Linked DNA regions of Lepisosteus oculatus. The protein of the gene in region 1 purifies or fractionates together with the protein of each later gene. This does not show direct contact. Links are inferred from orthologs where the notes say so. Each region holds a gene or a part of one and is shown in the gene's direction. Other genes may lie near its edges. The genes, in order: rpa1, rfc1, tipin and rfc5.

Region 1 (7,161 bases):
GTCCACATCAGGTTGATCAGACTTTTCCCTGGTGCTCATCCTGTCCAGAGTTTCTTCGTCCCCCCTGCCCTGGTCCTGCACTCTCTTGATTTCCTCGCACCCGGCCTGCAGTGCCACCCGGAGTGCCAAGTGTGCCAGCACCCCCGCCGCCAGCAGCTCCCCCCCAAGCGGGCACTCCCAGCGATGGCACCCCTCCCACGCCTGCTCTCGACATTCCTCCCCGCAGTAACGGGCGTAACTGCAGCCCTGGCAAGGCACAGGGGAGAGCGCCCTGCGCAGGCAGCGATGGCAGTGCCAGTCCTCCGTGCCCGCGGCCCCCCTCTCCACCGCGGGTCTGACCGCTTCCTCGGGGATCAGCACGCAGCTGAACGCCTCCTCTTGCACCACCACCTCCCCGGGCGCAATGTCGGCCGCGGCCAGCAGGTGGCGACCCTTGCCGTGGCCGAAGCGCAGGGCTACGGCAGGAGACGCGCAGAGCAGGGTCCCGGTCAGCCTGCCGCTCTGTGCCTGCGGTGCCTGGCGCTCCATAACCCCTTCCCCGGCGGTACGGATCTCCGCACTGGCACTGCCCTCCTCCTCCTCCTCCCTTGCCCGCTCGAGCTGAGAGAGGCACTCTGCCCGCCTGGCCAGCAGCTTGGGCTCCAGGTGTCCGGGGTAGCCCTGGCTCAGCGCCCTGCGGATGTCCCGCAGGCACTCCTGCGAAAACAAGCAGCTGGTTTTCGGATCGGACCCACAACAACCCGGGACGTCTGTCACCACGTACCACAGCAACCACCCGGCGCCGTCCGAGTTCTGACCCGTTCTTCTCTTACCACGCTGTCACCGAGAGCCTAACTAGACATGGTGCAGCGGTGTGGTTTGGTCATTTATGGGTCCAATCAAGATCAAAAATCACCCGTCCTGTCCAAACAGCAGCGAAGGTTATGGGACTGATGCAGCTCTCCTCCGTGATTAACCAGGAGGGAAACAAGTACATCAGATCCCTTTTTATATTCTTAATTCTGCACATCAGAACCTCTGGCAAACATTTCAGGGCTCCCAGATGTTGATCAGATAATAATGTGTTCTCTCTCTTATGTCTAATCTATTAAAAGTAATTAATGCAAATAATTGGCAAGGATAAATGCAACTGTGTATAAACTGAGCGTGCTGTAAAATATGTATGTGTAATGTGATGGAACTGTTGCAACGAGTTATGCGTGTGTAACAGAGGGGATGTATTTAGATGTACAGAGCCGCTGTGCGTCAGTAAAACCTTTCCCCTGGGGGACAACAGAGTTCAGCGTATCTTAGCTCAGAGATCGCACAGTGGGGTTCAGCCCACGCCCAAGGGGGAGCCCTTCTGACCTCCAGTCAGCTCTGGGGGTTGATCCTCTGACACAGGGCGGGCCCATAGGAGGGTAACTCCAAGGCCCACACGCCAGCGCTTCATTCAGCCATTTAAAAGCTCCGTGACCCCAACCCGAGCTTTACCTTTGCCCGAAAGCTCACACTAAACCCAGCGTGCAGCGTGCAGCGTGCAGGCTTCTGGCGCTCACCTGGTACTGGGCGAGGTGGAAGAGCGCAGCGGAGCGGTTGGCCAGGCACAGGGCCAGCTCCTGGCTGCCCGGGTCCGCCTGGCACACGCCCTGCGGAGAGAGCAAGGACTAGACTGTGAGAGGGCCACCCCCCCACCACCACCACCACTCTGGCGCCACCTCCTGGCCGCTCGCAGAACTGCAACGGCATCGGACACATGAGCGCTCAAGCAGGCCGGGAGCCGGGTTTCCGAATGCAGCGTCAGCGGAACGGCGCTGGGGGAGGGGCGCAGGGCGATGTCCGCCCCTGGGGTGCCCCACGCCGCCAGGACAGCTGTCCTGGAGTCTTACAAGGCGCAGGACTGGAGCACGAAACACATGACCCTCATCTGCTGGGCAGCCAGACAGGCCCAGACCCTGCACGGCCAGCTCTGTAAGAGGTGCCGAGCGCCAGCAGTCTGGGGGCGCAGTCAGGCACCTGGACTCCCAGCTGGAAGGTGTGTGGGTTCGAATCCCCAGTGCGATCATACCCCTCAGCCCCAGTACTGCACTGAGACATGCCTCCAGTACAATGATTACAAACATAAGCTGCTTTGCTTTTCTGGACTAAGCTGCAGACTTATATTAAAAAAGAAACCAATATCAATATCGATGAAAAAAGATGTTATGTTGAGTTTCAGCCCCATCGAAAACAATATTAAAATTTCGTTGGTAATAAATGTAATTATTCTAATGGCACGTTATTATATACATAAAATGCTTGAGCATTTTAAAATGGATGTAAGGGGGGTATTTGCAGACACAAATATGAAAGCAGTGCAGACATTATGTTTATTTAATTTGTTTAATCTTTTTTCCTAACTTGAAGTTATGTAGTAGTATGTACCCCTGGCGATCTTTTTGTCTTGAACTGTTATATGCGCTCTTGTTTGTATTGTAATTTTTGTTATTCTGTTATGCATAAATACTTTTTTTTTTAAAACCTGCTGTGGGTGCAAGCACCAGCCAAATAAAAATGAATACAAATAATGAAGCAGCAATGTCAGGTAACAGAGACTGCGCAGCTGACGCGTGAGCAGAGCCGGGTGTGCCTGTAAATGAAACGGGACCGGTGACCTTAGAATAGCGCAGCAGTGCCCCCAGGTAGTCTCGTGCCTTGAACTTCCCGTTCCCCTGCTCCCTGAGCAGGCGCGCGCAGTCCGGGCTCTTGCGCACGGAGCGTCCTCGCGCCGCGCGCGACAGCAGCGCCGCATCTTCACCGCTGACGGGGCGAGGGAGGGAGGGAGGGAGAGAGAAAGAAAGAGCATCAGGCCTTCGTCCGCCTCGGCACTGAAGCAGCGCCGCCCCAGCTGAAGACGCTTCAACATGCGGTTGACTTGAGATAACTACTTTTTAACGACCGCAGAGCCAGGAAGAGCGCTGCTTCCTTCACAGAGCAGGGCTGCAGTTTCACTGCTGCCCGTTTGGGGTGTGAGAGGGGCCAGCAGGGGGCGCTCACCCTGCGGTCTGTGTGGGTCCTAATGGCCCAGTATAGATACGGGGGCACTATACTGTTAAAAGGTGCCGTCCTTTGGATGGGATGTAAAACCGAGGTCCTGACTCTCTGTGGGCATTAAAAATCCCAGGGCGTTTCTTGAAAAGAGTAGGGGTGTAACCCCAGTGTCCTGGCCAAATTTCCCATTGGCCCTTACCCATCATGACCTCCTAATAACCCCCATCTCTGAACTGGCTTCATCACTCTGCTCTCCTCCCCACTGAGAGCTGGTGTGTGGGGAGAGGACTGGTGCATCATCCAGGTGGGGCTGCACACTGGTGGGGGTGGAGGGGATCCCCATTACCTGTAAAGCGCTTTGAGTGGAGTGTCCAGAAAAGCGCTATATAAATGTAAGCAATTATTATTATAATCTGCAAACAAGCATTTTTTTACTGTACAGTTGTCACATACTCCAGGTTTTTTCAATTAAAAATCAAAATTCATGCTATAGTTTTTTTTATTAGTAAACTTTAAAAAAGTAAATATTTTTGCACAGATACAGGATTTGGACTGATCCCTCGGCTGATTATCCACGGTGCGCAAAACAGCTAATGAATTAGATGTGCAGTTTGCACACGAGCAAGACTGAGCCCGATCCCAAAAGGGATAATTCAGAGGTACACTTGCGACACTTTCATTCAAGACTTTCTACACTGACAGAGACAGGACGCGAGCTGTACTCACTTCACCAACGTGACGCAGAAAGCATACATCTCCGCCGGCTCGGTGAGCGACGTGAACGCCTGCTTTTGGACGGAAGGCAAAAGCTTCCACTTCTGTTCGACATGTCTCTGCCACTCGGGGCACGGCAAATCCATTGTTTCTTGAAAAAAATGATAAAACTAACGCCTAGCTATTGGATCTCTGCATGCAGCGGGGCACACACATTACAAACCCAGCAGCACTCTCCGGTCAAGGGTGATAGATCCCACTTTTGAGAGATCCTCCATCTTGGCTCCAATCTCCCTTATATTTACATAGCTTCGAGCCACAATGGCGCCCGTTTCGCGGGAGCGCTTTCCCCGCCAATCCGACGAACGGGGAGGGACTGTCTCCGCCGAGCACGGACCGCGCATGCTCAAGACCCGCCGTAGCCGGCGGAATTTGGCGCGTGACGTCGGGAGAGTTATAAACACACTCCGCGCGCGCTCTACAGCCAAAACTTGGCGCCACGGAATACGGACCTGCAGAGGAGAGAGGCGTATTCACCCGTCTTTGAGTTTTCAAGGAGAGTTTTTTTTGGTTAAAATCTGATTTCTTTTGCTCGCTATGACTGTCAAACTTACCGAAGGAGCCATTGAGGTAGGTGATTTTCGGGGGTGGATGCAGTAGTTTGTAGTTATTATCCACACTAGCGGAGAGTTCTTTCTGATGTCGCACTTGATAAATATTTTTTCCTAGTCGCTCAATATCGATCGCAGTGAATTGCTTTACTGGGTTTCGTCGGTGATGTAACACCCCCAGTTGTTTTTGACTCTTTCTAAGCGATGCAAGCAGAGCCCTGCTCCTGCGAATCGGGCGTGTAGTTGGTCTCCGAGCCGTGTCGCGGGCCTTCGCGCCGGCGCTGGATTAATAAAACCGCTCCACGGCTCACAACAGCCATGACCTCCGGGAGCACCCGTTAAATAAAGTGCAAGCTTGATAAACGCCATTCTGTAACAAAACAAACACCTGCTTGCATTGCATGTTGGCCAGAGCGAAACACTGCTTCCAGAACTGAAGGCGAACGGCTCGGGGTCTGGGGTCGTTGCTGTAGCTGTCTGTAGGCTGAGTGTTTTAATTTCCCACCGCAAGTCCTACACTGGCAGGAGCTCGTTAGCTCTCAGACTTCAGTCAGTGGTTACTGGGACTTCAGCTGGCCGAGAGCGGCACCCAGCCTGTCTGAGGACGGGCTTGATGTTTGTACAGGTACTGACGACGTGCCGCAGGCATCATTTTATAATAGACATGTGCTAATATACACATAAACGAATTTTTCATCTGTGTATGTTCTTGTCTGTTCTCTTAATGCTTTACATCTTAGTTCATTCTAACTGGGCTATATGCATTCAAAGTAAGGAAGTTTTTTATGATTAAGGAAGAGGGATAGAATTGTGTAGCTGTGCATTCATAATTCCAGTTTCAGTTCATCTGTATCTCGGGTTTGATATTTGATACACACTGCCAGGCCTGGCTGACCCCCCCTCCTCACTCTCTGTCCCCCCAGGCTCTGACCAAGGGCAGCGACGTGCCCAACATGGTCCTGCAGGTGGTGGTGAGTACGGACCCATCTGATCCGAGATCCGAGATCTGTTTGCCCTTGTTGCAGCATCGCTGAGATCTGACCTGTGTCCCCTCCCCCCTCCCAACCAGAACATCCGGCGCATCGAGAGCAGCGCCGGGCCGGTCCGGTTCCGGATGATGATGAGCGACGGGGTGCACACCATGTCCTGTGAGTACAGCAGCAGCGGTATTGGGCCTGTTTCAGCCGGGCAGTAGTCGGCTCCCATCGGTTGGGTTTAGATTGGAACCTCAGGAGACTGTCGGTCCTCTGGAATATGTCTCTTTCTTCTTAAAGACGGGGAACAAGCAGTGTGTCCTGCTGGCGGGGAAGCATCTTGCATCTGCCTTTGAATTTAAGTCCTTTTGATAGTTGTATTGCTCCTTATTGTGGTGCTTAAGTCTTGGTGGCTGCTCAAGTCTTTGCTCATTAAGCTCTGGAGAAGGTTATGGTTTAAGGTCGTAAACTTGATTTTACATGTAATAAATTCAGAATTTTTTAGCTTGGGGAAATTTTAGGAGCTTTTCCTAGTTGATCCAGAGTCGGTTTGAATGGCAGAGATGGACCCAGTCTCACTGTGCTCTGCTCCACTTTCCTTTGGTCCTGGTTGTTTTGCTTCTGCAAGTTCTGGTTGTGTGAGAAGTGTTCTCTCCTCTCTGTGTCTTCCAGACTTCAGGTGTCAAAGAGAGCCCTGTTACCTAAAGTATTGTTAAATGATTTATAACTGGTACTTGCACATTTTTTTAATCGTGACAAGTAAAGGGTCTGATATTTGGGTTTGAAACTACAGGGAGGCGGTGTAGTTGAGGGCTCCCTGGGGCTCCTGCACAGGTCTGTTGAAAAGCTCATGCGTCATCGGCCGCCTCAAACTCCTCGTCCAGCTCCTTCTCCCTGGAGTCCAGGGCATCACTGTGCATGTTTGTTTTTTTTCACCCCGAAATCTTCCTCCTTGGCACAGCCTTCATGCTGGCCACGCAGCTGAACCACCTGGTGGAGCAGAACACCGTGTCTTCGAACTGCATCTGCCAGATCAAGAGGAACGTCCACAACACCCTGAAGGATGGCAGGTGAGTCGTGCCGCCTGGCATGCCCAGACGTAAAAGATTCCTGCCGGTGCAAAGACAGAGAGAGAAGGACAGGAGCACTTCTGTCATTGTTGGTCTTGAAGTACAGTGAAGTCCAAGCCCTGCTAGGAGTGCATTCGTCCCCCAGGTTTATGAACTCTTGTTGAGGTGGGGTTTGAGGAGCTCAGCTTTCAGGCCACAATGAGAACCTGAAAGCTTGGCGCTGGGTGGGAGCTGTCTCCTCCGGGCTGCAAGCGCGGGCGGTCCTAAGCAGTTGCTCTGTTTTCTGGCTCTTGGGGCGCCCAGGCGTGTGGTGATCATCGTCGACGTGGAGGTTCTGAAGTCAGCGTCCGACGTGGGCGGGAAGATTGGGGACCCGGTCCCTTACGGAGAAGGTAAGGAATGAGACGCGTGCAGCATGTGTTGGGTGTCGCAGTAGGAATCCAGGATGTTCTGTAAAAAGATGGCAATTTAAGAAGTCCTAAATAATTCCTTACACTTATATAGTGCTTTTCTGGACACTCCACTCAAAGCGCTTTACAGGTAATGGGGATCCCCTCCACCCCCACCAGTGTGCAGCCCCACCTGGATGATGCACCAGTCCTCTCCCCACACACCAGCTCTCAGTGGGGAGGAGAGCAGAGTGATGAAGCCAGTTCAGAGATGGGGATTATTAGGAGGCCATGATGGGTAAAGACCAGGGGGAATTTGGCCAGGACGCCAGGCTAACACCCCTACTCTTTAAACAACAGCCTGTTGCCTGGTTTTCTTGGCTCGACTTCTATT
Region 2 (7,363 bases), on another chromosome or scaffold:
ATAATTCCCGGACTTTAATTCCTGTTTTTAAATCTCATTTCTTCACTTACGTGTCATTTAAGTGGTGTGCCTTTTCTGGTGTGGGCATAGTACAACACGAGAAAGCAGTAAAAGAGTCACTGCAAAATGGCAGTTGAAAGAATTGGAAGTAATTGTTGCTGGTTATGTATTAAGTAAAGATTTTGATAGGTACTCAAACTCTAAACAGGCTGCTTTGGAAAATCTGAACAATGTTTAATATAACCATGTTTTTGAGGCACATGACAACAGCAGGTTATTCCTTGCAGGTTATATTTATATATAAAATACAGGAAATTAGTTTTTAGGATTATTCTGAGACTCCTAATTCTGTCTTTGTCAGGGTGAGAAAATGAAGCCAGCAGTGTGGGCTGATGTTGTTTCATTCAGACACGCGGCAAGTTTTAAATGAGTTTTGTTTTAGCACGAGCTTTAAAAACTACAGTGATCTGTGTTTGTCAAGCTATCACTATTATACAAGATGAAGTTGGGCTGTTGCTGCAAAATGCAGGAAACAGGGGAATTGAGGTTTAAAGAACAATTCTAAAAACAAATGGAAAAGAACTGAACTCTTCAGAATCCTCCCCTATGGATTTCATTACCTCTCGGTGTCTGAACCAAAAGACCAAAGTCCTGACTATCATGATAAATAAATCATAGGCGCTGGAGAAGTGTATGCTATGCTGTCTGTGCATTCCCTTCCCCATTCTCCACTGAGCCTTAAATAAATAATCATTATGACTGACCCGTAGAGCAGACTATGCAGTGCACATAACAAAAAGGCAACCGCAGCAGCTTCACTTGAGAAACAAAGTCAGGCTTTGTGTGAGAGCGACTGGGTCCTTGAATGAATGATGCCAGGCTGCAGATAGATCAGGCACGGAAAAAAAAAACCCATTACGTCTTATCAGCCGCGCTACCTCACCTTGATTAGATTGTGAGCCACAGCAAAGACAGCTGTGAGGTTCCCTCTCTCTCCGGGGGCATGCACGCCTGTCCCATAGCCGTGCCAGGCCACCGCGTAGGGGTTGTGCATTGTCACCCAGTACTTGACGCGATCCCCGAAGCTCTGGAAGCAGAAGGCGGCATAGCTCTCGAAGTCATCCACCAGGGCGTCGCTGTGCCACCCGCTGTGGCGCTGCTGGAGTGCCAGGGGCAGGTCCCAGTGGTAGAGGGTGACCACGGGCTCGATGCCCTCCTGCTTCAGCCGGTCAATCAGCAGATTGTAGTGCTCCACCCCCGGCAGGTTGGGGGCCCCGCCGGTCCCGTTGGGGAACAGCCGGGGCCACGAAATGGAGAAACTGTAGGTCCGCACCCCTAGGTGCTTCAGCAGCTCCACGTCCTGCTCCCACAGCCTGTAGCTGTCGCTGGAGGTGCCAGACCCCGGAGCCTGCTGGGAGCGAGTGAAGTGATCCCAAATGGAGGGGCCCTTGCCGTCCTGGTCCCAGGCTCCCTCGCTCGGAAAAGCGGCGCTCCCGGCTCCCCAGAGGAAGTCCTGGGGGAACGTGCCGTGCAGGAACAGCTGGCTGGCGTCCACGGGGGTTGAGCTGGACTGCGCTCTCCACACGGCTCGTCCATCTCCTGGCAGGCAGACCACGGCCCCCCGGCTACACAGGAGCAGCACAAACAGGCTTTTTAAAGCAAGGGGACCCATCCTGTGCTCCCCTGGGACTCAGATCCAGCCCAAACCGAGGGAGACGAGCATGACGGCTGGAGCAGAGGACAGGGAAAGCACACGAGAGCTCAGCCAAGCTGAGCTGGGGCCATCTGAAGACCTGAGCTGCTGGACTGCCTTATCGTGCCAGTGGGAAAAAAAAACACAACAATCTTCTGTTGCAAGTTGGACCTCTGTCAATGATTAGCCTGAACTGTGATCCCAAGGATGAGTTAGGAGGGAGAAGTGTGCTCCGGGAAGGCAGCTCGGCGGCTCCTAGCACGCTCTGCCCTGGGAGACTGCTCAGACACACACACACTTGCAGCACAACGGAATAAAGACACACAGGCTGAGCAGGCAGAGCACTGTATGTGCACACACGGTGCACAGAGACTGCATGCCATCTGAGAGACCCCCTTCACTGCAGGTGTTGAGCAAATATCGGCGTTCACTGGAGACTGGCAAGAAGCAGCCAGTGAAAATGACAGGATTTAAAAAAACAATTTGGAGTGGAAGAGCAGCAAGCTTGGACCACCACTGGAAGGGTCTCACCTTCTTTTCTGTGCAAATACTTCTTGCACAGAGGATGTCATCTTTTGGGTAATGTCAAATGACTGGTTTAACATAAATGTTTAAACCACGTGACAAGCCAATCATTTACCTCATCAGCTATGAACAGATATTACATTGTCCTACAAAAGCAATATTGTTTTGCTAAGACCACATTGCTTTATCCAATGTGGATGTGGATATAATACAATATATTGGTAGGTGGTAATTTTACCATATATACATAATAAGTCAATTGTAAATATTTTGCCTTCTTCTCACATTGTACCAAAACATTCAAAAACTGATTATTTGTTGTCAATTGTTTTTTTAACTCTTTACAGATTTTTCAGGGACACTGAATCAATCTCTCACTCAGATTAGAAACAGATACAATTTATTTTTCGAGTGATGAGCTACAAATACAGTATTTCTCCTGGGAATATATTTAAATGTTCTGTACTAATTTCATGGGCCATACTGTGTGAATTCAGACTTTGTCTAAGCCTAGGGGATATTTGATCATTTTTCTTTCATCGCCCTTTCAGGGCTATGTGAAAAGAATTAAAGGGATATTTGGAAAAAAATCTCGTCTGGCTCTTTCTTCTTCCAGAAGATAGATTAAATGTGACTTGCAGGAGAGGGCATCGTAAATTTCAGATGAAACAGGACTCATTTAAACTCATTGACAGTGTCCAGACCCTCCTAATTAGAGCTCACATTTGATTTCAGTGTTTTGCCATCAGTTATTTCTTTAATTGAAGTTTCATTTGCTGTTTATGCTGGCAAGAGCAGATAATGAAATATGACAATTTAAAAATTCAAATTAAAACTCTGTGTAAACAATTACAGACTACAGACAATAAAACTACTATTTTATAATACTAAAATGTGTGATGTACAGTATATATGTAAAACTATATAAAAATATTTCCACTGTGTACCATTCTGAAAGTACTATTACTGCCAATAATTATTCCTTACACTTATATGTACACTTTTCTAGAAACTCCACTCAAAGTGTATTACAGGTAATGGAGACTCCCCTCCACTACCACCAATAAGGAGCCCCAGCTGGATGATGCGACAGCAGCCACAGTGCACCAGTACGCTCCCCACACACCAGTTCTCAGTGGGGAGGAGAACAGAGCGATGAACACAGTTTATTAATGGGGATTATTAGGAGGCCATGACTGGTAAAGGCCAGGGGGAAATTTGGCCAGGACTGGGAGAATATAATTAGAGACCTAAACAGGATATGATCAAAATAGATTCTAGCGGAAAGGTACAACTTGTTAGAGTTCTTTGAACAAGCAACAACACTAATGGATATGTCAGCACACTGTTTGGTATATTTAGATTTTTGGAGGGCTTTTGATGAATTTCCTCCTGCCAGATTAATACTCAAATTGCAGGTGTCAGACATTCAATGAACTGTGTGTACCTGGATTGTGAGCTGGCTAATAGACAGAAAACTGGGTACTGATAAGGGGTGAATACTCAAATTGGTGTTATTTGTTAATTTATTAATTATTAATTATATGCCCACTGGGATTTGTATAATGATTACTGCTCCTCCAAACACCTCTAACTATTATGGAAAACTAGTCGAGTTTGCAAAATTAGAGTCTCCTACAACATGATGGTATTAAGCGTGAAATTGGATACAGCATTGGTTAATAGAAAATTGAGAGCACAGATGAGCTGTGCAGCAAAAGCTACATTTCGGGAGATATAGGTGTCTGTTCTTCCTAAATCATTTAAATGAACTAATCAAGTTTGAAAATGATACCAGATCGGCATAGTACATGGAAAGGAACTTAAAAAAATGCACCGCAGCTGGATGAACATAGGTCAAAGGGCATTCAATACTGGCACGCCAAAAATGTTGCAGTATATTGACAGCTATATACTAATATCAGGAGAACTGAAAAGACCATTGGCCATGTCTAAAACTACAATAACACAAACGCTGTTGTGCACATGGCAATAGGGTGCATGTCCAGCACGCGCGCTGCACCTGTCCGTCTGCGGCGCGCTCCTCCGCAGCTTCAGGGCCGCACTGCGCAGGCACCCTCGGCCCGCCTCGCGCTGACAGCGGCCGCGGCTTGCGTCATTTCTCAGCGACCTGGGAGGAATGCACTTGGCGCCAAGCTGGAAGAGCACTGGAGGTGCACACTGGCTTTAAACATTCAAGAAATCGTATATAATATACGATGGTGAGTATAACTTGCGGCGTTCGTGGCTTTGCAAGCACTGTTACAGCTGCAAGTTTCGAAATGTGCCATTTCGCTTACAGAGAAGTACGTTTGACTTGGAAGTAGCTCTGGCTTAAACCGAGATTTAAATTAAAGTGGTGGGGTAGTACTTTATTCACACCTTTTGCAAAAATGCCTTATTTTTGCAAGCATCTAACACACACATTTTTTCTTAGAGTTGGCACTTAACATGAATGCGTAGTTCTCATGCACTAAAAGAGGTGTGCGCTTGCAGAAACAGAGACTAATCGCATTAAGACGTTCGAGAAACGTGCTCAATGTAATACTGTTTTTCTGAACGCATACGGATTCGCAAAGTACATTTCGATTTAGAATGTACATTGCGCTTACTAAAAATATCGTGCGCTGCAGATCTGCGATCTGTCGTTTGACTGGAACGATGTTTTGATTCGGTAGAGTTATCACAGCTGTGACGAATTTATAATTCAATAATTGCTTTCAAAATCAATTCTGTTAAATGCTGCACGTTTCAAAACCCCTTAGCTGGAAAACTGAGAGATACGGGAGAGTCAATTACCAAAGCTCTGGGTACGCGGGAGGGGAAATTGCAGATGTGCACATATGTTCTTCCTGTCCACATGTCAAAGACGAGTGAACTGCAGGGGCTGATTGTAACAGTTAAGTAATTGGGGGTTGTGTAGAAGACTGTAGCCTTCCGGGACCCGTGTTGGACATCCCTAGTTTTCACATATGCAGATCCTTTTGGGTTCAACCTTACAGTAGCTGCATCCACATGAATCCCGTGGCTGTTTCTCACCTCATTACAGGATGCTCATAAAGCATTTGTATTGAGAGAACTTGTTGAGTATTTCCTAATGTAAAACAGATCAAATACAAATTTCCCTATCGTGTACAGATCTTTTTTTTAAAAAAAACCAACATTGTCCCACTCTCGCATTCAGCCAGGTTGGAAAGTCCAGCTCTCATGACGGGGGACCAACTGACACGTTATTTTGGTTCGGAGTGCTAACCTTGCGTGGCCGTGTGTATCGTTTGCAGGACATAAGAAAGTATTTCCAGTCTCAGTTGCAAAACCAAGCTGGGGAGAAGGAGAGGCTGACAAAGAACAGGTCCTCCAAAGCTGAGGGTGATGTGAAGGTGAAAAAGTCTGGATCCAAGGTCAGTGCTTGACAGGAAACTGATAGAGAGAGCGGTCACCTGTCTGGGCCAGCGTGTCCCAGAGGTCTTCGTGTATGTCCGCAAGGCATGGCACGCAGGCCTGGATTCAATGAAAGAGCTCTGGACTCGCCCACAGGTCGCTGCAGCCAGGCCCGGTTCTGAATCATGATTCTGTTGGGGGGTGTTTGGCATTTACCCCACATAAATCAAACAGCAAATCTGGGGTAGGGAAATTGGGCTTGGAGGGTGGGTCCCAGCTGCGTTCTAGTCTGGGTCCCGTCTAGTCCAGATTGTAATGTGGACAACAATAACATCTTGGTGTTGGCAAGTCCTTAAAGGGGAACTTCAACACTGTTTTTATAGTTCCGTGGTTCAAAAGAATCACTTGGGTGAGTGCATTTCCAACCACAGTAAAAGTAGTTTGCAAAAATTTTGTTACACCACAATATAGATGAAATTTCCAAGTATCCACGGCGCTGAGTCCTGCGATTCAGAATGAGACAACAAAACTTCCGGTGACGTGATGCAGCTTTTTACATTGTAAACAAACAGGCTTTTGAATCCAATTTTAATCCAGTAGAAATATTGCTCTCGATTTTGTGACGGTTTTGCTGACAAATGCTACTTATTTGTTAGCTCTGCACGCAGATGACATTGGAACATTTCTGAGGTGAAATAGCTGCGGTACAACCTGTACTTATTTGCTCATACATCGCACTACATTAGTCATTATAGTGACTAGTGAGCAGGAAGGGCAACATCACGTCTCAATTAGTGGGAACTCGAATGCGAGTTTGTGACAACATTGAGACTTAGTGCTTTCTAGAAAGTTCACAATTGTATGCTTAATTTGGAATTTGTAAATCTTTTTATAAAGTCAATGCATTTATTTTGTTACTGAGATCTAATAACCAGTATGAGAAATTGGGAGTGCAGTTCCCCTTTCAGCACGAAATACGTGTTAAAACACAATAACAGGCACTGAATGGTGCAAATCAGCGTTGAGAAACTACTTGAGCAAGCTTACAAACCAGGGGTCACCATTCTAGCCTGTATAGAAAGTGACAGGTTCCGAAATCTGCATGGTTGTCTCAAAGATGTTTTTGTTTTGTTTTTTAGCAGTTCCTATAGATCCTTTCATTGATCTCAGGTGAAAATTGACAGTGTTCATTTTAAAGGGAAATTGTCCCCATCCATTGGGATGGACCTCATCTTTAAGGGAACGCATCACTTCTGTTACAAAACAGTTTGACAGGTTTCAACAGCTGTAGGTCACTACTAAAGCCAGAAAGCAGTGTGTTTCATTAGTAGTATTGCAGTACTGGGTGTACAAATGTACTGTATAAGGTAAATTAAATTAATAAACCTGAACATCTCAGCATCTGTGGATGTTGGGATTCTTGATGATCATGCAGTTCATCAACCAGAAATGGGTCAGACTGCAGTGCATTGAGAACCTTATCTGTTTCCTCATCTGCATCTGTGTTGTGTGTTTCAGGGGAAGAGTCCCAAAAGTGATGATAAGTCATCGGTAAAGCGAAGGAAACGTAACATCATCAACTCAGGTGTGTCCGCTTGAAGTCCCCTCCTGACATGGCAGACGGATGGCTCTGATGATGGCCCACACTCTGGTCTCGCACATTTCCTCTATTAATGGCAGAATTGAATTTCTGTGATGTGGGTCAGCTGGAGTTTAGGCCTTCAGGCCAGCGTGCTGATACTTATTGTTTCTTGGAAAAGCTGA
Region 3 (7,971 bases), on another chromosome or scaffold:
GATCTCACAGAGAGGGAGGGTGCGGAGAGTGGAGGCTGTAAATTTCGCCCAGTTCATCAACTTTCCAGAGGGCACCTTTTTACCCCCTGTTTTGCCCAAGCGAAAAGCTGTTAAGAGAAATGGAGGGGTACTGGGCATCGCAACTCTGCTGTGAGCAGGCCAGCTGCTGGACACCTGACCTAGGGGACACATCCAGGCTGTCTGTGACCAGTGCTCCTCAGCATCTCCCAGTACTAACAAATCCTTCAGACAGATTCTGTGCCCAGGGTGAGCTACAATCCCACAGGCCATGGTTGCTGTATCATTCACAAACAGAACAAGTGCCAAACTTACCACACAACACTAGCCCCCACTCATATACTGTACCTATCCACTGCAGCTACGTCTGGCTCTATTACAGAGAGGTGTTTTGTGTCCTTAACAGATACGGACATAGATGCAAAAATGTTTTAGCACAGATTACTGATTTGACATTAATGGAAGTGTATATACACACACACACAACAAAAAGACGTACACACCATCAGAGAAAACAAAGTGGATCAATAAGTTGTAGGCGTTGCAAGCAGGTATTGAGGATTTGCATCAACAACATTAATAGTCACAACAGTTTAAAAATACTCAGCGGGAGAAGGAGGGAAGAAAAACATCCAGTAACATGTACACACGCAGGAAACACACAGATCCAAATGGGCTATGGACTAGTTAAACCTCAGTGAAACCAGCAGGAACCCCAGGACAGCCTTTAGCATTCCACTCTGTAACTCCTATTAAAATTCCTGGGAATGGAGCGGTTCAGCGGAACCACTCCTGATGTCACGACACCACTGGGGTCCTCGCAAGATACTCCTCTTTATTTTCGGGGGTGAGGTGGGGGAGTCACCCATGTAACAGCACAGACACATGTCATATGTATTCATTTAAAAAAAAAAAGAAGAAATTACAAAATAGAGCCTCGCAATGAAAACAAAAAAAAAACACCCCAAGCAGGATATTTAGATATACGGCGCTAGTGAGCAGAGAGCAGAGCCACACAGATCACCCGATTCCGAAACAAGGAGGAAAACGTCATTGTAGCTTTTAAAAGATTAGAACTTACTCCGTGGCGCTGGTACCGTTGACAGTGTTGCCATCAGGAGCTGGGTTGAGCTGAATCGGCTCCGGCTTCCTCCTCTTTTGCATTTTTTAGAAAATCAGCGACAAATTACCCGACTACAGGAACCCCTGAATAAATCACGAACTGGCGAGTTACAGGCGCTGGGAGGGAGGGTATCTACTAGTGCAAGACTCCCAGACAAGAGTTAATAATGCAATGATATTTCAAAGAAATAGTGCCGCTATCCTACCCAAGAGTGCAGCCTGTTACACAGTAAAGCCTGCTATCGCTAAAAAAAGCTGTAAGCGGCGGATGAAGACTCGCCTTCCTCCTTCCACTGATACCCAGAATTTCTCTATGGGTGGATAGTCTCTTTATGTTTCAGTAACATTTTTTCTCCCTATTTGCTGACAGCCAATGACTGTGAAGGTGTACGTCACGAAAATATTTACATTAGTCTTCCTGCGAGCTTGGGGACGGCGTCTTTGGGGAGAGCTCCCCCTCCCGGCGAGTTCTGGCTCGACAGTTTTGAATGAACTGTACTGTAGTACGGGATAAAGAACCGTGAGAACATAAAAAAGGATTACAAACGAAACCAGACAGTCATTCGGCACGTCTGACCCGTTTGGTCTTCAGTACCTTAACACTCCAAGCATCTCATCCAGTCGTTTATAGAAGGAAGCCAGGGTATCGGCTTCACCAGATGGCTGGATAGCTTGTTCCACACCCCCACAGCCCTTTTTGTAAAGACGTCCCTGTACCCGTTCTCGGTTCTAAAATGAACCACGTCTGGTTCGTGTTTCACCTCTTGACGAGGGCCACTGTGTTTGTCAATGCCTTTGAGGACGTTAAATTCTTGGATCATCGGGTCTTCTGGTATCTTCTTCTTTTCTAGTAGCAGTTCTGGCTGTACGATCCGTGTGCAGCGTGTGAAGTTGGCAGGATGTCACACTGTACTGCCTATTTTCTTTCTTTATTGTTGCATGAATGAATGAATTAAAGATCACGCTGTCAAAATAAACCTTGTAGCTCAAAACAAAGATATTACACCGAATTAAGCGCAACACGTGATAATTAATGGAGAGCAAGCTGGGGTGCGCGAAAAGACAAATTCCTAATGCAAGAAATTGTGCATGGCTAATAAAGTGATCTTAAGGCGGATTATTTGAGTGTAACGTAATGATAGAATCATTGCAGCTTTTATGTGCAGAACCTCACCCACGTTAAGGAAAGTCACCAATCAAATCTGCTCACAGAGAATAAACGATTGGGTAACTACGTCACTTATGTAGACAAGCAAAACTGAACATTGGTCCAGATTTGGAAGACTGTAAAAAGTCAACAACCAGAAAGATGGAAAAAGTTCGAAAATGTTGCTGCGTCAGCATTTGTAGGCTGCGAGGGAACAGGTAAAGGTTTATTTCATGCTGAATATTCCTGAAGGCTCCACAGCCGAAACGTTGTGTCTCTTTTCTTCTCCTTTCGGCCTGCACGGAATAAACCTTCGCCCGTTCCACCTACAGCAGGAACATTTTATAACACTGATCGAAAAAAAACAGAGCCCTGCATTTGCATGGAAGCCCAGCCCCCTCAAAATAGGAAGCGCTGATTGGATAGAACGGACTCGTGGTCGCCCTGTAGAGAGATCTAATTGGTCAGTGTGGTTCTAAGATGTGATTGGCTGTTGGTTGCAGAACCGGCGGGGAGAAGAGACTCGCTTGGATAAAAGCGGACAGTCCTCTTCTTACCACTGTTGTAGATGAATACTTGATTTATCGAATAATAATAATAATAATAATAATAATAATAGGTCAGTGAGCGTCTTCTTTTGCGTTATCTACTCGTTGGTTCATTGTTTCCGTCGCCGTTTTTCGCGGAGTTTCTCCTTTATTTCGAGTTCACGAGCGTAGTCGGCCTTGCTGTGTTGTTGTGGTCCGGTAAGTTAAGTCGCTTTCTTGTATATATAACTCACGGTGTTGTGTAGCGATAGTTTTATAAAGTAACAAAACACAAATGTGTTGGGTTTTCTGTTGTCCACTGCTGCGATTCAATAATTGTGCAGAAAGCGTGAGGTCGCTTTTGTGTGTAAGAAGGCACTTTGCCATTGTGTTTTTGGGCACTGTCAACAGACCTAGTACGTCTATTTTCAATTTTTGTTAAAGCCTAAACTCGTTTCGTGATTTCTGTGGGCCGTACACATCTACCTAATGCTATTGCAGCTTTTACGTCAGTACGCCTACAGACAAACGTTTACAAAGCTTCTTCGGCGTCGGCCTGCACACTTTCTTGCCGTTTGGAAAGTTGGTTTGACTTTTTTGGGGGAAGATTGAAGAGGTTCTTGCTACAGAACGTGAATGGCCGTGTAGTTTTTACCCAGCCTGTGTCGAATCTGCGGTGGACAATGATAGGCATGGATACCTGTGTAAATTGAATTGAATCTACCATCCATTTTCAACCGCTTCATCTAAAACAGGGTTGCAGGGGAGCCGGGGCTATCCCGGCAGGCAACGGGCTCTAGGCAGGGTATTCGCAGGACAGGACACCAGTCCATTACAGCTCACGGGGCAAGTTTCCCCAGAAGCCAGCATGTCTTTGGATGGTGTGAACACGGGGAGAACATACAAACTCCATCCATGCAGCACCCCCGATCTGAAATTGAACCCAGGGCCCCAGCGCTGCGAGGCAGCAATGCTCACCATTGTACCACCTTATTGACCCTCTTGAAGAAAGTGATGTACTGCTCAAGGTTAGGTCCGAGTCAGTCAATACATTTTATAACCCAACGAGTTAGTTTAAGCGACTTTAGTTTCTGGCCTTTGTTTTTACGGGATGTTGGCGTCTCTGAACGTTAAGTGCATCCTTCCTTCTCTCCGGCATGTTTAGTTGTGGCTGAGATGGAAAAGACGGGCAATAATCAGATAAAGCCCCGAGCCACGAGGAGATGGTAGATTTCCTGAACCTTTTGGCTCTTCAAGGGCGTTACACCGTTCGGCCAGAACAAAAGAAATCGCTATTTAGCCATCGTGGAGAGACCCCAGTCCGACACTTTACACGTAACTAGTAACTCATTTTCTGAAGACCTGGCTGGAATAAACTAATAACAGTTAAATTTTCTCTTTCTCTAAAGCTTAAAGAAAAAAGAGCTGAGAACGCTCTGAACCTAGTTATAACGCTACTATGTTTAACGAGCCCTCTTTCTTGTTACCAGGCCTGAAATTCACACGCCAAACTCCCCACGCCGCGCTTTTCAGCTAGACTCGAAGGGGAGCTGTGTCGCTCCTCGCTGTGCGCATGTGCGAGACCCGGGCAGTTTCCGGGCTTTGCGGAAGGGGCGTGTCGGCGACCAGCTGCAGATTTGTGATTGAACGCGCGCTGCTAGTTTCGCTAACATCTTTGCCACTTGTCGATCGTTATCCAGCCGCGTCGTGAGCGCACGGAGTCCTTGCTTGTGGACAAGCTGAGCCTCCCGGATTAGTGCGGGAGGATTGTTCTGAACATGCGCTCTGATTTCGAAGAGTTGCCAGTCTTGATAACCAGGCTTTTCACTCTCCCCACAGGGAAGTATTTTCTAAAATGAGCTGTGCAGTCATGTGACCGTCTTATTTCATTGTTGGCACTGAAGAGCGTATTGCGCTGGACGCGTTTTGCTAGTCCCAGGCAATAAAGCAGTTGTAGTTCCTATATAAAACACGTGAGAGTGGTTTCACGTGTACATTTTATCGGTCGCTGTGCATCGACGGAACATGTACCAGCCACGTGTTGGACAGACTGAATCAACGTGGTTTGAAAGAACAGAACTGTTGGAAGGTGATATTTTGAAATAAGATCACTTTATTGGCCATATACAATTTCTTGCATTAGAAATTCTTTGCATACCCCAGCGTGCTCTGCATGTTGCACGCAGATGGGGAAAATGGCAAAATATGTAAAAGACTCAAGTCTTGCAAAAGATGCTGACTACATTCAGTGCTTGTCCGTATGGAAACAGAAAGGTAATTGCGATATTCACTCCTGGAAGCTCTTCTGATAATGTTAGTGTTGGCTACATATGACTTTGAGAGGAATATGTGATGGCTTCCATGGAAGGCCAAAGTAAAGGAGCTGCTTTTCTCAATTTAATCATCCCTGTAATAACCGCTTTATTCAATACGGGCTCGGAGCCTATCCTGGCAAGTAATGGACACTAGCCAGAGTACACCCTGGACACGGCACCAGTCCATCGCACATTGCAGGGCAAACACGCACCCACGTCAGGGCCGGTTTTCTCAGAAGCCGACTAACCCATCGGTATGTCTTTGGACTGTGTAGGAAACCCAGGCTGAGCATACAGAGAGCACCCCGGGAGCTGGACCCAGGGTCCCCACACTGTGAGGCAGCAAGGCTGTCCGCTGCGCCACTGTGCCTCTCCTTACCATCTCTGATAATCTGGAAAAACTGTGGTCAAGCAGGGTCTCCGAGTATCCGACACCAGGCCTCTGGTCTTGGCCGAGACCTACCGCAGGCACGTTGTCTGTTTTAAGCTGCAGGGTCCTCCTGTGCCGGGCCCCTCGCGCAGCGGAGACGGGCGGCCCACCTGTGGGTGACGGCGGCTGTGGGAATGCCGTCAGGAGTGACCCTTGTCTTGTGTCCCCCCCAGGGCGCGCCGGGCCTGCTGCACCATGATCGACCCGCTGGAGAACAGCCTGTTTGACCTTCCCGACTACGAGAACACCGAGGACGAGGCCTTTCCTCCGCTGCCGCCCCCGCTGTCCCCGGGCAGGGAGGGGTCCGGCGGGGACGGCGACGACCTTCCCAACGGTGAGAGCCCCGCGCCGCGGTCTGGGCTGACGCGGCAGGGGCCACAGTGGCCCCCGGCGGTCTCTGGCACTTCCCCGAGGTTAACCGAGGAAATCAAGCTCCTGCTTAGCCTTCCTCATGCAGGGGTTCGGCTTTGGAGACGTGCATTAGCAGAAATAGTAGACCAGAGACTGGCTGAAGGCCTTTTATATGTTGGAGGCTGTCAGTGTGTTTAATGAATTAAACCGTATAGTTCACCTTAAATGGCATGTTCTGTGTATTTCGCAGGGGCTACAATGATCTATAACATCAAATAGAACCAAATCTGTAGGAGGTAAAAAGGCCTCTTTTGGTGTGTAAAGAGCTAACACGCCTGAAGAAGGCTCCAAACAGTTTCTTGTCTTTTGCTTTCACCATGGAATCAACCTTTACCTGTTCCTTTGCAGCCTACGCATGCTGACACGGCAGCCTTCTCTGATTTCTTCAGAGATGATTATAGCAAATAGGCACTGTACATCGTATCTTTCGGAGTGTGCTTGAAAGATTGCCGATCGGCTCTGATGTGGGAGATCCATTTACAAAGTCTGCCAGGAGCTGCAGGTCCATGAGGCTGGCTATAGCCTGCTGCGGAAGACTTCTCATGTCCAGTGTAGTGGACCTGACCTCTTCTGTGTTTCAAGGGGAGGACGCGGGAGAGACGTCCAGGTTAGATGAAGCCCCCATTGCCAAGAGGAGGGCTGTGAAGAGACCTCAGCCGAAGCTTGATTCCCAAAGGTATGTGGCGAGCGCGCCAACAGAACTGGCTCTTTGAAAAGGTTCGTCGGGTCTCTCGGCTAATAAATAGCCTTTATTACAAACGGAGTCTTTTGCTTGGAATCTAAATTCTGAGTTCTTATAGCTGTACCCATTTAATAAGGAGAACAATTGAATATGATGGCCACACGTTTGATCGAGTTCCTTCCTTTTCCTGTGGGCTGTTTTCTGGAGCTGCTTGCTTGTTTCAGCAGCTGATTCAGGCACGTACTGTAGGTTTGACGTGTTCTGTTTTTTGCCGGAGTGCAACACGGGTACAGATTGCGGCCGCGGCTGTAGTTCTGTTCATTAATGAATGAAGTATGCCGACGGAGAACATCCCCTTTGTACGTGCGCTGTGTACGTGCTGTGCATTAATGTTGAGTGTGGGGTTTTTTAGGCTAGTGTCTGAAAGAGGACTTCCAGCTCTGCGCACCTTATTCGACAATGTAAGATTCAAAGGCAAAGGACACGAGGTGAGAGCTCTGCTGCGTGCATCACTTTCTAGCCAAGTCTGTTTCCCAGGCGCCGCCGCCATGACCACAGCTCTGCATCTCGTTCATTAATGTGCTTGTGACATGAGCCACTGTGCAGCATCCCTGCATTCATGAGCATCTGTAGCAGTGTAGCTCTGTTGGGAACGTGTTTGTGTTGGGGGGGGGATTCTGAAAAGGGTGGTTTTTTTAAGTAGTACGGATGTACTTCAAGGAGTTCTTTCAAGTTCCTAGAACTGATCTGGTGCAGGAAAGCTGTGAAGGTCTTTGAATTGTCTTTGTCAATTCCTTTCTCAAGTGAAGCAGGGTTCAATTGGGGGGAAAGTATCTGTGCTGGTTGTGTTGGGTCAAGTGGTTCCTCTTTTACTAACTTTCCTTACAGTTTGTGTACTATGCACAGTTGATAAAATGCGAGGCTGTTTAAATGCACAGATGTATTCTTCTATGTAAAATGGGTATTCAATAGGTGTTTTGATTTTTGTTCAGTTTGTTACAAGAGAGCTGTGTTGCTGCCCCCTGGTGGTAGCAGTAACAAATGCCTTCCCTTTTGTGTTTCACAGGCTGAAGACCTGAAGCTGTTGATCCAGAAAATGGAGAACTGGGCCCACAGATTATACCCGAAACTACAGTTTGACGACTTCATTGACAAACTGGAGTCTCTGGGAAGTAAGAAAGAAGTCCAGGTGAGACTGGAGCGCTGCAGTAGAGGAAGCTGATGCTTTTTTTTAGATGTAAAATGGCTCCAGTTCTGTTCCCAAGACTGCAGAAATCTGATCAGTAACAGGTGACTTCTTGTGTTTCTTTTATAGACTT
Region 4 (7,102 bases), on another chromosome or scaffold:
GGCAAAAGCTGTATCTTGCGTACAAGAGGGGGTCGGTAAAAAAACTAAAAATATTAAGAAATATTTCACATTGTATTGATCATTAAAATATCTGTTGCGTTTAAAAAAAATACAAGAATGTTTTTTTTCCTCATTTTTGTCCAGCTGTGGTAAAACAAATGCACTCCAAGTACAGAGACACACGACCCCGCTTCAATCCTGTGAATGTTTTAAAATTCCCCGCCTACAGACGTGGCCATTAGGGAATCGCAGGTTTAAATAACAGACAAGAACATGTGTAATATGAATGCATCACTCCTTTAATATTTACAAAGCTTTCACGAAACACACAGCTTCAACATTATAAACACACGACCAGTAGCCACATCTATTACGCAACGCTGGGTTTTTGTTAGGATTCCCTCTCATTTGCTACAAATGGGTCAACGACCATTTAAAAAAAATCAAACCTTTCAAAAGAAATACAAATGAAAAAAAAGCGTCGCTGTACTGGGATCGCTGCCACAGATCGTACTGTACAGCCGAGGTAATGCGGTCGTCTGTGTTGCAAAATGCTTAGAAACAATTCAGGCCTCAGCGTTTTGCAGAGAAAATCTGCTTAGAAATAAAACGCTCGATCCACCTTTCTCCACCACCTGCAGAATGCGCAAGCTCATATCGGCTGACTGCAGCTTCTTAATTTATTACACTGCACGCCAACCCAGATAAATAAACAAATATCGGCACAAAAGGGCGAAAACCGGGATTTTAAAAGCCATCCACTGAACTATTTTACTGGGAAAAACAGCAAATGAAGAAATGAATAAGCAGAAGCACCTCCTGTCTTCAATGCGCACGAATTTGGTTGCAATAATAATGAAAACACGAGTTAATTTCAAGCTTACCTCCAGGGTTCTTATTTCTTTTTGTGTCAAGTCGTTGGATGTGGCACATTTGGTCCTCAGCCCCTCCAAACTGGAGATGCTGATGTCTATCATATTTTGCACCAGTTCGCACTGCTGCAAGGCTTTTTGCAAACTCAAATGATGCTCTTCGCTTTTTGTCATATTTTCCTCATCCATAGTTTGCGAGCACGGATCCCCTTGTCTAACTCTGGTTTTATTTTGTCGGAATTACAAAAGAATCGGATGGGAGAAAAAAAAATCCCACCAATGATTAAAAAATGCAGTAAGAATTCCCAAATAAATTAAATCCGAAATAAATTAAATTAAACTAATTTTATTAATCAAAATGGTTTTTTGTTGTTGCTGTTGTTTAAAAAGATATTATTTTGACGGCGACTCCATTGTAGTCTTCCTTTTTTATCTCCTGCCGAAGTGGAACTGCTTGGTTTCATCAGAGCAGTTCAGGTAGGCAGCGGTACTGATGTTGAGGGCTCAGTCAGACACAATATAACAGAAATTCAGGAGAAATACATTTAAAACAGAGCGTCTGCTTCAGCTGGCTCCATGGAGTATTTGGACGCTTAAATAAGTAAGAGTAAGTATTTAGCTCAGCATTGCACAATGGACAGAGACGAGACGGCGTTTTAATATTATTGGTGTAAGCACTGTGTGCAGGTGCTCTCTGTCTCTCGTGCCAACAGCTGCATCCCGGCTCTCTGCTTCCACACCGACATGTTGCCTGTCAATCAAATCCACAGCAATAGCAGCAACGGCGACAGAGGCAGCAGCACCGAGCGAGCTTGGAGAGGAGCGGGGTTCTCGCGAGATATAAGGCTTCCCTCATCGCAGTGAGCTCACTGTTTCAACTCTCCAACCTTTGAGCTAAATTTACTGTAGTTGTCAAGTGATTTTTTTTTGTGGACAAGAATAGTTTTATTGGCACATACTTCTGTCTCCGAGGAGAGACGTCAAGTTCATTTGCACGCAACCTTATTAATGTAATCAATCCGGTGTTTTTTTTTTAATTCTGCTTTTCCACCTACTGTATATCCAGTGAAGTTTCTTGTTTTAAACTCTTGTTTGCTCTCTTTTAGATGTTTTGACATAACACATCCAGCTGAATACCTAGGGTGATATATTTGAAATGTTAGTATGGTAGTTATATCGATTTGCCATTAAGAATTTAAATATATTGTGGCGGCTTAATACATACTGTAGCAACATATTTAGCTAGATAGTCTAGATCAAAATTAATTTGGACGCATTTACAAAGCGTGAAGTGGCATCTCTCCACGCTGTCATTACGTCTTGGAAAATAATAGTAATTAAACATCACTTCATACTACAGTGGTAATTGATATTGACCTCATTATGGCTACAGAACTGATTGGACTTGAGTTTTTGTTCTGTGAATGTGGTTCTGTTGATTAGATTGAAAAACTAGGTGTCACGTTTATTTTGATGAACTTCAAAATGATTCACTTCTATATGTACATGAAACGTTATGAGAGGGAAACAAATACTGGTAAAACTACAGGGAAAATAGAGAATGTGATACAAGTATTGGCTACAAAGACAAAATCGTATATAAACAGTGTTAACCCTAGGAAAATGTCTTATTTTAAGAAAACAAATAAGCATAGAGTATGTAATGTTGTGTGTTGGCATTCCATTGTGCAGCAGTGAGGAGTAGTGTTTAGGATTCATAACTGGAGTGTTGTAGGTTCATATCCCAGGAGTATTTCCATTGCACCTTTGAGTTACGTATTTCAGCTGCACACTGGCACAGTGCAGTGCTAGGGTCCTGGGTTCGTGTGGGTTTCCTCCTACTGTCCAAAAACATACTGGTAGGTTAATTGGCTTTTTGGGAAACTGGTGTCCCGTCCAGTGCTTCTCATCCCTCACGATCCTGAATTGGAAGGAGTGGTTAGAAAATGGATTGGGGAGAAGCTTCAGTAAAATGTCTACCTGTACAAATGCAAGTTGTTCTGGATAAATGAATAATAATGATACATTGTTTTTTTCACCCAAAATGAGCCTGCTTTTGTCATTCCCAGCTGTGTTAAGATAATAGATCATTTGTGTTTTTTTGTAGAACAGATGCCAAACTTGTGTGATTGAGGCTACAGAACACAGTTTAGGACAGGTGCAGTATTGTTCCCTTTTCAGTGGACACAGTGCGACAGTTCGTATTTGAAGGATAGGAGGAATAAACATTTTGGGACACAAAATAAACATGTCACTCCAAATGAGGGAGCTTTATTCCTGCTATAAATTCTTTTGACATTTTATCACTGTCACCTGCAGAGTGAGGCGAAACCACACTTATTATGAATGTACAACTGAGACAACCCCCCCTTGGAAAAAGATAAAATAGAATAGCTCATCTCAGAACCTAAGAACCTTTTTGTGAGGCATTGTCTTACAAAGCAGCAAGGAACTTAATCTCTTTTATTATTATTCACTGGTAAATATAAAATACAATTTTAAAATAAAAAATAAGATAAAATATTGTATTAACATTTTAATCTGAAACCGTGTATTAAATTAAAGCACTATGTGTCAAGGTCATTAAGCAAAGCCACTGTAAAATTCTAACTATATTCAGTTATGTTGCACTGAGGAATAAGTGGAGAAATTAACTACAGGGGCGGGTTGGGTTTAGGGGAGGGGGGTTGTGTCAAAAGCCTTTACTTACTCTTTAGAAACAAAGAGATGTGGAAAAGGGATCAAAAATACGATTTTATTATTATCGGTGGGGGATTTGCCTCGCACGAGTTTTCTGTATTTAATCTGGTAGGACGGATTTTGACTTCTTCTGAGGATATTGTTGGTTTTATGATTAAATCCCTTCTGCTTAACGCATGCACGTTAACGCTTCCATATCAAGCTGTGCTATTTATTTTTATTTTATAATCACCCATTTTTGGATGCACAACATTTCTAGGATGATTTGTCACTTTTATAACTAGACAATGTAATGTTGCAAAAATAAAGAGTGTTCTTTAAACAATTTAAAGAAATATCTTTATAGTACTCTGGAAGAGCAACAGACAGAAAAAAAGCTTAGTACGACGCTGTCGTCTAACTGGGCGCCGACAACCATTTTACGTTACAATTGCTAGGTTACCAACACTTTCCATTAGAGTGAGCGCCGCCTCTTCGTCTCAAAGTCCGGATCTGACTGGACAATGTATTGCCGTAAAGCACTTTGTCCAGCAGCCAGAAAGGCGTGTATACACAAATTTACGTAGTAAAGCGCGCCAACTGCAGAGAATGTATGAAATATAGGGTTAATGTGTTCAGTATTAGTTATATAACATTTATTTTAAAACATGGCTTCAACCAGTAAGACGCCGTTACAGTCAAGAAACTTACCATGGTAAGTCCACCTAGTTGAGCTAATTTACCTTGCCTGATCATTGTGTTCGTTACTGGTTCTGTGTTTAAAAAAATGCTGAACACATCTAGCGATCACAATCCAAAAATGTACGATTGTCAGTCACATCAGATAATTTGGAGAATCCCTTCTTTGGAGTGTACGAAGTCGAGAACTGCACTTTTGGTACTTAATCACGGCATTATATCGCACCAATTACTCATGCCCTACTGTGAAATCAGATAATTATACAGATTCATTATTCTTTCTTCTTGCTTTCCATGCCTGGTTTCGATGGAGAATAAAGACCTAATTAAAAAAGCGACAATGCAGTGTAAAATTAGTGTAGACATAACTTCCAATTGTGCGTTACATCACATGCTATAGTCGACACTGCATATTGCCGGTCAGCTGTCAGGTCAGTTTTAATGGGAAGTCTAGTGTTCGAGTTCCTGACACACAGTACAGCCATGCCGGCCACATACCGTTGATGCCGATCCGCAAGTCTGTGTTCGTTACTAGAAGGTAAAAATTCAACGGACGGTAAAAATGTTTCTGTTGATGTGCAGGTTGCTATTGCAGGGCTCACGATTGTTGTCTTTCAGGGTTGAGAAATACAGGCCACAGACCCTAGACGATCTGATATCCCATCAGGACATCCTCAGTACAAGTATGTGTGTTTTTGCCCCCCTTATCATCAACGCTGTGGTTTGAATTACCGTTTTATAACGTTTTATTCTACACTTCCAGATATCTGCATCCTTCAGCTGGTGTTGAACTTCATGAGCTATTTCTGTTGTGGTTTGTGTTGACAAATAGGCGCTGCGACAGGTCATCTGCCTCCTAACTTTTCATATTTTTTCCCATGTTGAGCTCAGGTTTTTGAAAAGCCTCACCTTTAGGTATAGCGTACTATTTATTCCCTACTGCTGTACTGGATGTAAATGTTGACAACCTGTGAGTTCAGTGGCCTCTTCGTTTCACCTATTAAATTCATGACATTGACAGAAACTACAGTTAGGTATTAAGTTAACCATTAGAGAGATGGTTTTAGAAATGTCAGTGTTTTACGGTTTCTGTTTTTCTAAGGCATTTGCTCCAGGTTATCTTTTTTTTTTAGTCCAGAAATTTATTAGTGAAGATCGGCTGCCACATCTCCTCTTCTACGGCCCTCCAGGGACAGGGAAGACCTCCACCATCCTGGCCTGTGCCAAACAGCTCTATAAGGATAAAGAATTCAGCTCCATGGTCTTAGAGGTACTTGAGCCACTCACTGCACAAAACATTGGACAGTCAAACCTAGCAGTCTCTATGCAGAACATGGTATCTGAATGTCAGTCAGTGTTCATTGGCTGTAGCTGTCTCATTGTTGCAATTATTGCTTAAACATACCGTGTCTATTTAACCAGACCTATATGCTCTAGAGCTGTGGTGTCCATCATGCTGATTGTCCCGTACAGTCTTCTGATTTTTGTGTTTTTGTTAGCTGAGCTCTGAATGACTTAAGTGGAGCAACCATGTGCTATGCTCATTGATAATTTATGGAAACCTTTAGTACGAACCACCGCTACAAATGAATGAGCAGTACAATATCAGATTGGTAGTATCAATGTGTTATAACATATAGTATATAATGGAATACTTTGTGTGATTATATGGTGTTACAAACCTAGTGTCGGAAGCCATGAACTTACAAGTGTCCTTATTTTTGTTTAGCTGAATGCTTCTGATGACAGAGGCATTGATGTTGTCCGAGGACCCATTCTGAGTTTTTCCAGCACTAGAACCATCTTTAAGTGAGAAGCCTGTTATTTATTTTGTCAGTTACATGTGTTTCATTAATTATTAATATTAATAGTGTACGACAAAAGTGAGTGCACAATCCCATTTCTGAAAAGAAGAGCATTTGTACAGGTCAGATTTGTTTTGAAGTTTTACCATTGTCTAACACTGTAAAATGCCTATCATTGTTTTGTATAGGCCTTTGAAAACCACAGGAATGCTCTCATTCCAGCTGACATACAACTCATAGGCAGGATTTGGGATGGTGCTTCAAATTTTGAAGATGCTTGAAGTGACAAGGCATATGTTCTGAATAGATACAATTGCTCTGCCTTAAAATTGTTTTATAATATGGGAAAGTAAGAATTTGATAGTATTTGGCATCAGCCTGTGCACTATATATGTGTACCTATTGTAGCAGTATAAACAGTGCAACTAAACATACTGTTCAGTTACAGTCTTTTGTCACGTTCAGAACCGTAGTAAACCTCTTGTATGAAAGAAAAACATCTCTAAATGTCTGTTCTGTGTTATCACTTTTTAGGAAAGGGTTTAAGTTGGTTATATTGGATGAAGCAGACGCTATGACCCAGGACGCCCAGAACGCTTTGAGAAGAGGTAGCCATCTGTTTTGCTATCCTTCACACTGTGCGCCAAATGTCCAAGGACTTGGAGTAATTTCTGCAGTCTATGGTACCAGCCAACAGCATAACAAATAATGATCTCACTTCCAAAGATAGCCTTACCTTGTCATGAGAAAACAATGCTGGCATATTCTAAGCATGTTGTGAGTTTTGTTTTATTAAGCTGCAGGTCAATTCTTTTCTTTCTTTCTGTCTGTCTGTCCCCTGGCAGTGATTGAGAAGTTCACGGAAAACACGCGGTTTTGTTTGATCTGTAATTACTTGTCCAAGATCATCCCTGCTCTGCAGTCTCGATGCACCCGGTTCCGTTTCGGCCCACTTTCTCAGGAGCAGATGGTCCCCAGACTGGAGTATGTCATCCAGCAGGAGAAGTGAGTACAATAGCAGAGCACGATTGTGTTCACCACGTGCCC

What was found.
Region 2: the proteins of rpa1 (region 1) and rfc1 purify together in Homo sapiens (affinity purification with mass spectrometry; 3 studies listed by BioGRID, with this or other methods). This does not show direct contact. The link is inferred for Lepisosteus oculatus from reciprocal best matches to the Homo sapiens genes RPA1 and RFC1.
Region 3: the proteins of rpa1 (region 1) and tipin purify together in Homo sapiens (affinity purification with western blotting; 4 studies listed by BioGRID and IntAct, with this or other methods). This does not show direct contact. The link is inferred for Lepisosteus oculatus from reciprocal best matches to the Homo sapiens genes RPA1 and TIPIN.
Region 4: the proteins of rpa1 (region 1) and rfc5 purify together in Homo sapiens (affinity purification with mass spectrometry; 3 studies listed by BioGRID and IntAct, with this or other methods). This does not show direct contact. The link is inferred for Lepisosteus oculatus from reciprocal best matches to the Homo sapiens genes RPA1 and RFC5.

What each region holds. Positions count from the first base shown.
Region 1 is NC_090721.1:10,065,169-10,072,329, forward strand, and holds the start of rpa1 (replication protein A 70 kDa DNA-binding subunit), read left to right. Parts: upstream 1-4,153; 5' UTR 4,154-4,320; coding exon 4,321-4,353; intron 4,354-5,257; coding exon 5,258-5,305; intron 5,306-5,403; coding exon 5,404-5,482; intron 5,483-6,269; coding exon 6,270-6,378; intron 6,379-6,681; coding exon 6,682-6,770; intron 6,771-7,161. Other genes in the region: smyd4 (SET and MYND domain-containing protein 4), read right to left, coding at 1-696, 1,539-1,628, 2,634-2,778, 3,736-3,869. UniProt on the Homo sapiens protein: As part of the heterotrimeric replication protein A complex (RPA/RP-A), binds and stabilizes single-stranded DNA intermediates that form during DNA replication or upon DNA stress.
Region 2 is NC_090696.1:68,398,583-68,405,945, forward strand, and holds the start of rfc1 (replication factor C subunit 1), read left to right. Parts: upstream 1-4,350; 5' UTR 4,351-4,437; coding exon 4,438-4,440; intron 4,441-5,499; coding exon 5,500-5,619; intron 5,620-7,117; coding exon 7,118-7,184; intron 7,185-7,363. Other genes in the region: klb (beta-klotho), read right to left, coding at 944-1,672. UniProt on the Homo sapiens protein: Subunit of the replication factor C (RFC) complex which acts during elongation of primed DNA templates by DNA polymerases delta and epsilon, and is necessary for ATP-dependent loading of proliferating cell nuclear antigen (PCNA) onto primed DNA.
Region 3 is NC_090700.1:47,710,248-47,718,218, reverse strand, and holds the start of tipin (TIMELESS-interacting protein), read left to right. Parts: upstream 1-4,951; 5' UTR 4,952-5,074; coding exon 5,075-5,088; intron 5,089-5,732; coding exon 5,733-5,893; intron 5,894-6,552; coding exon 6,553-6,646; intron 6,647-7,064; coding exon 7,065-7,140; intron 7,141-7,718; coding exon 7,719-7,841; intron 7,842-7,967; coding exon 7,968-7,971. Other genes in the region: map2k1 (dual specificity mitogen-activated protein kinase kinase 1), read right to left, coding at 1,100-1,182.
Region 4 is NC_090717.1:4,488,245-4,495,346, reverse strand, and holds the start of rfc5 (replication factor C subunit 5), read left to right. Parts: upstream 1-4,083; 5' UTR 4,084-4,219; coding exon 4,220-4,266; intron 4,267-4,868; coding exon 4,869-4,933; intron 4,934-5,383; coding exon 5,384-5,520; intron 5,521-5,979; coding exon 5,980-6,059; intron 6,060-6,589; coding exon 6,590-6,663; intron 6,664-6,900; coding exon 6,901-7,060; intron 7,061-7,102. Other genes in the region: ksr2 (kinase suppressor of Ras 2), read right to left, coding at 885-1,061. UniProt on the Homo sapiens protein: Subunit of the replication factor C (RFC) complex which acts during elongation of primed DNA templates by DNA polymerases delta and epsilon, and is necessary for ATP-dependent loading of proliferating cell nuclear antigen (PCNA) onto primed DNA.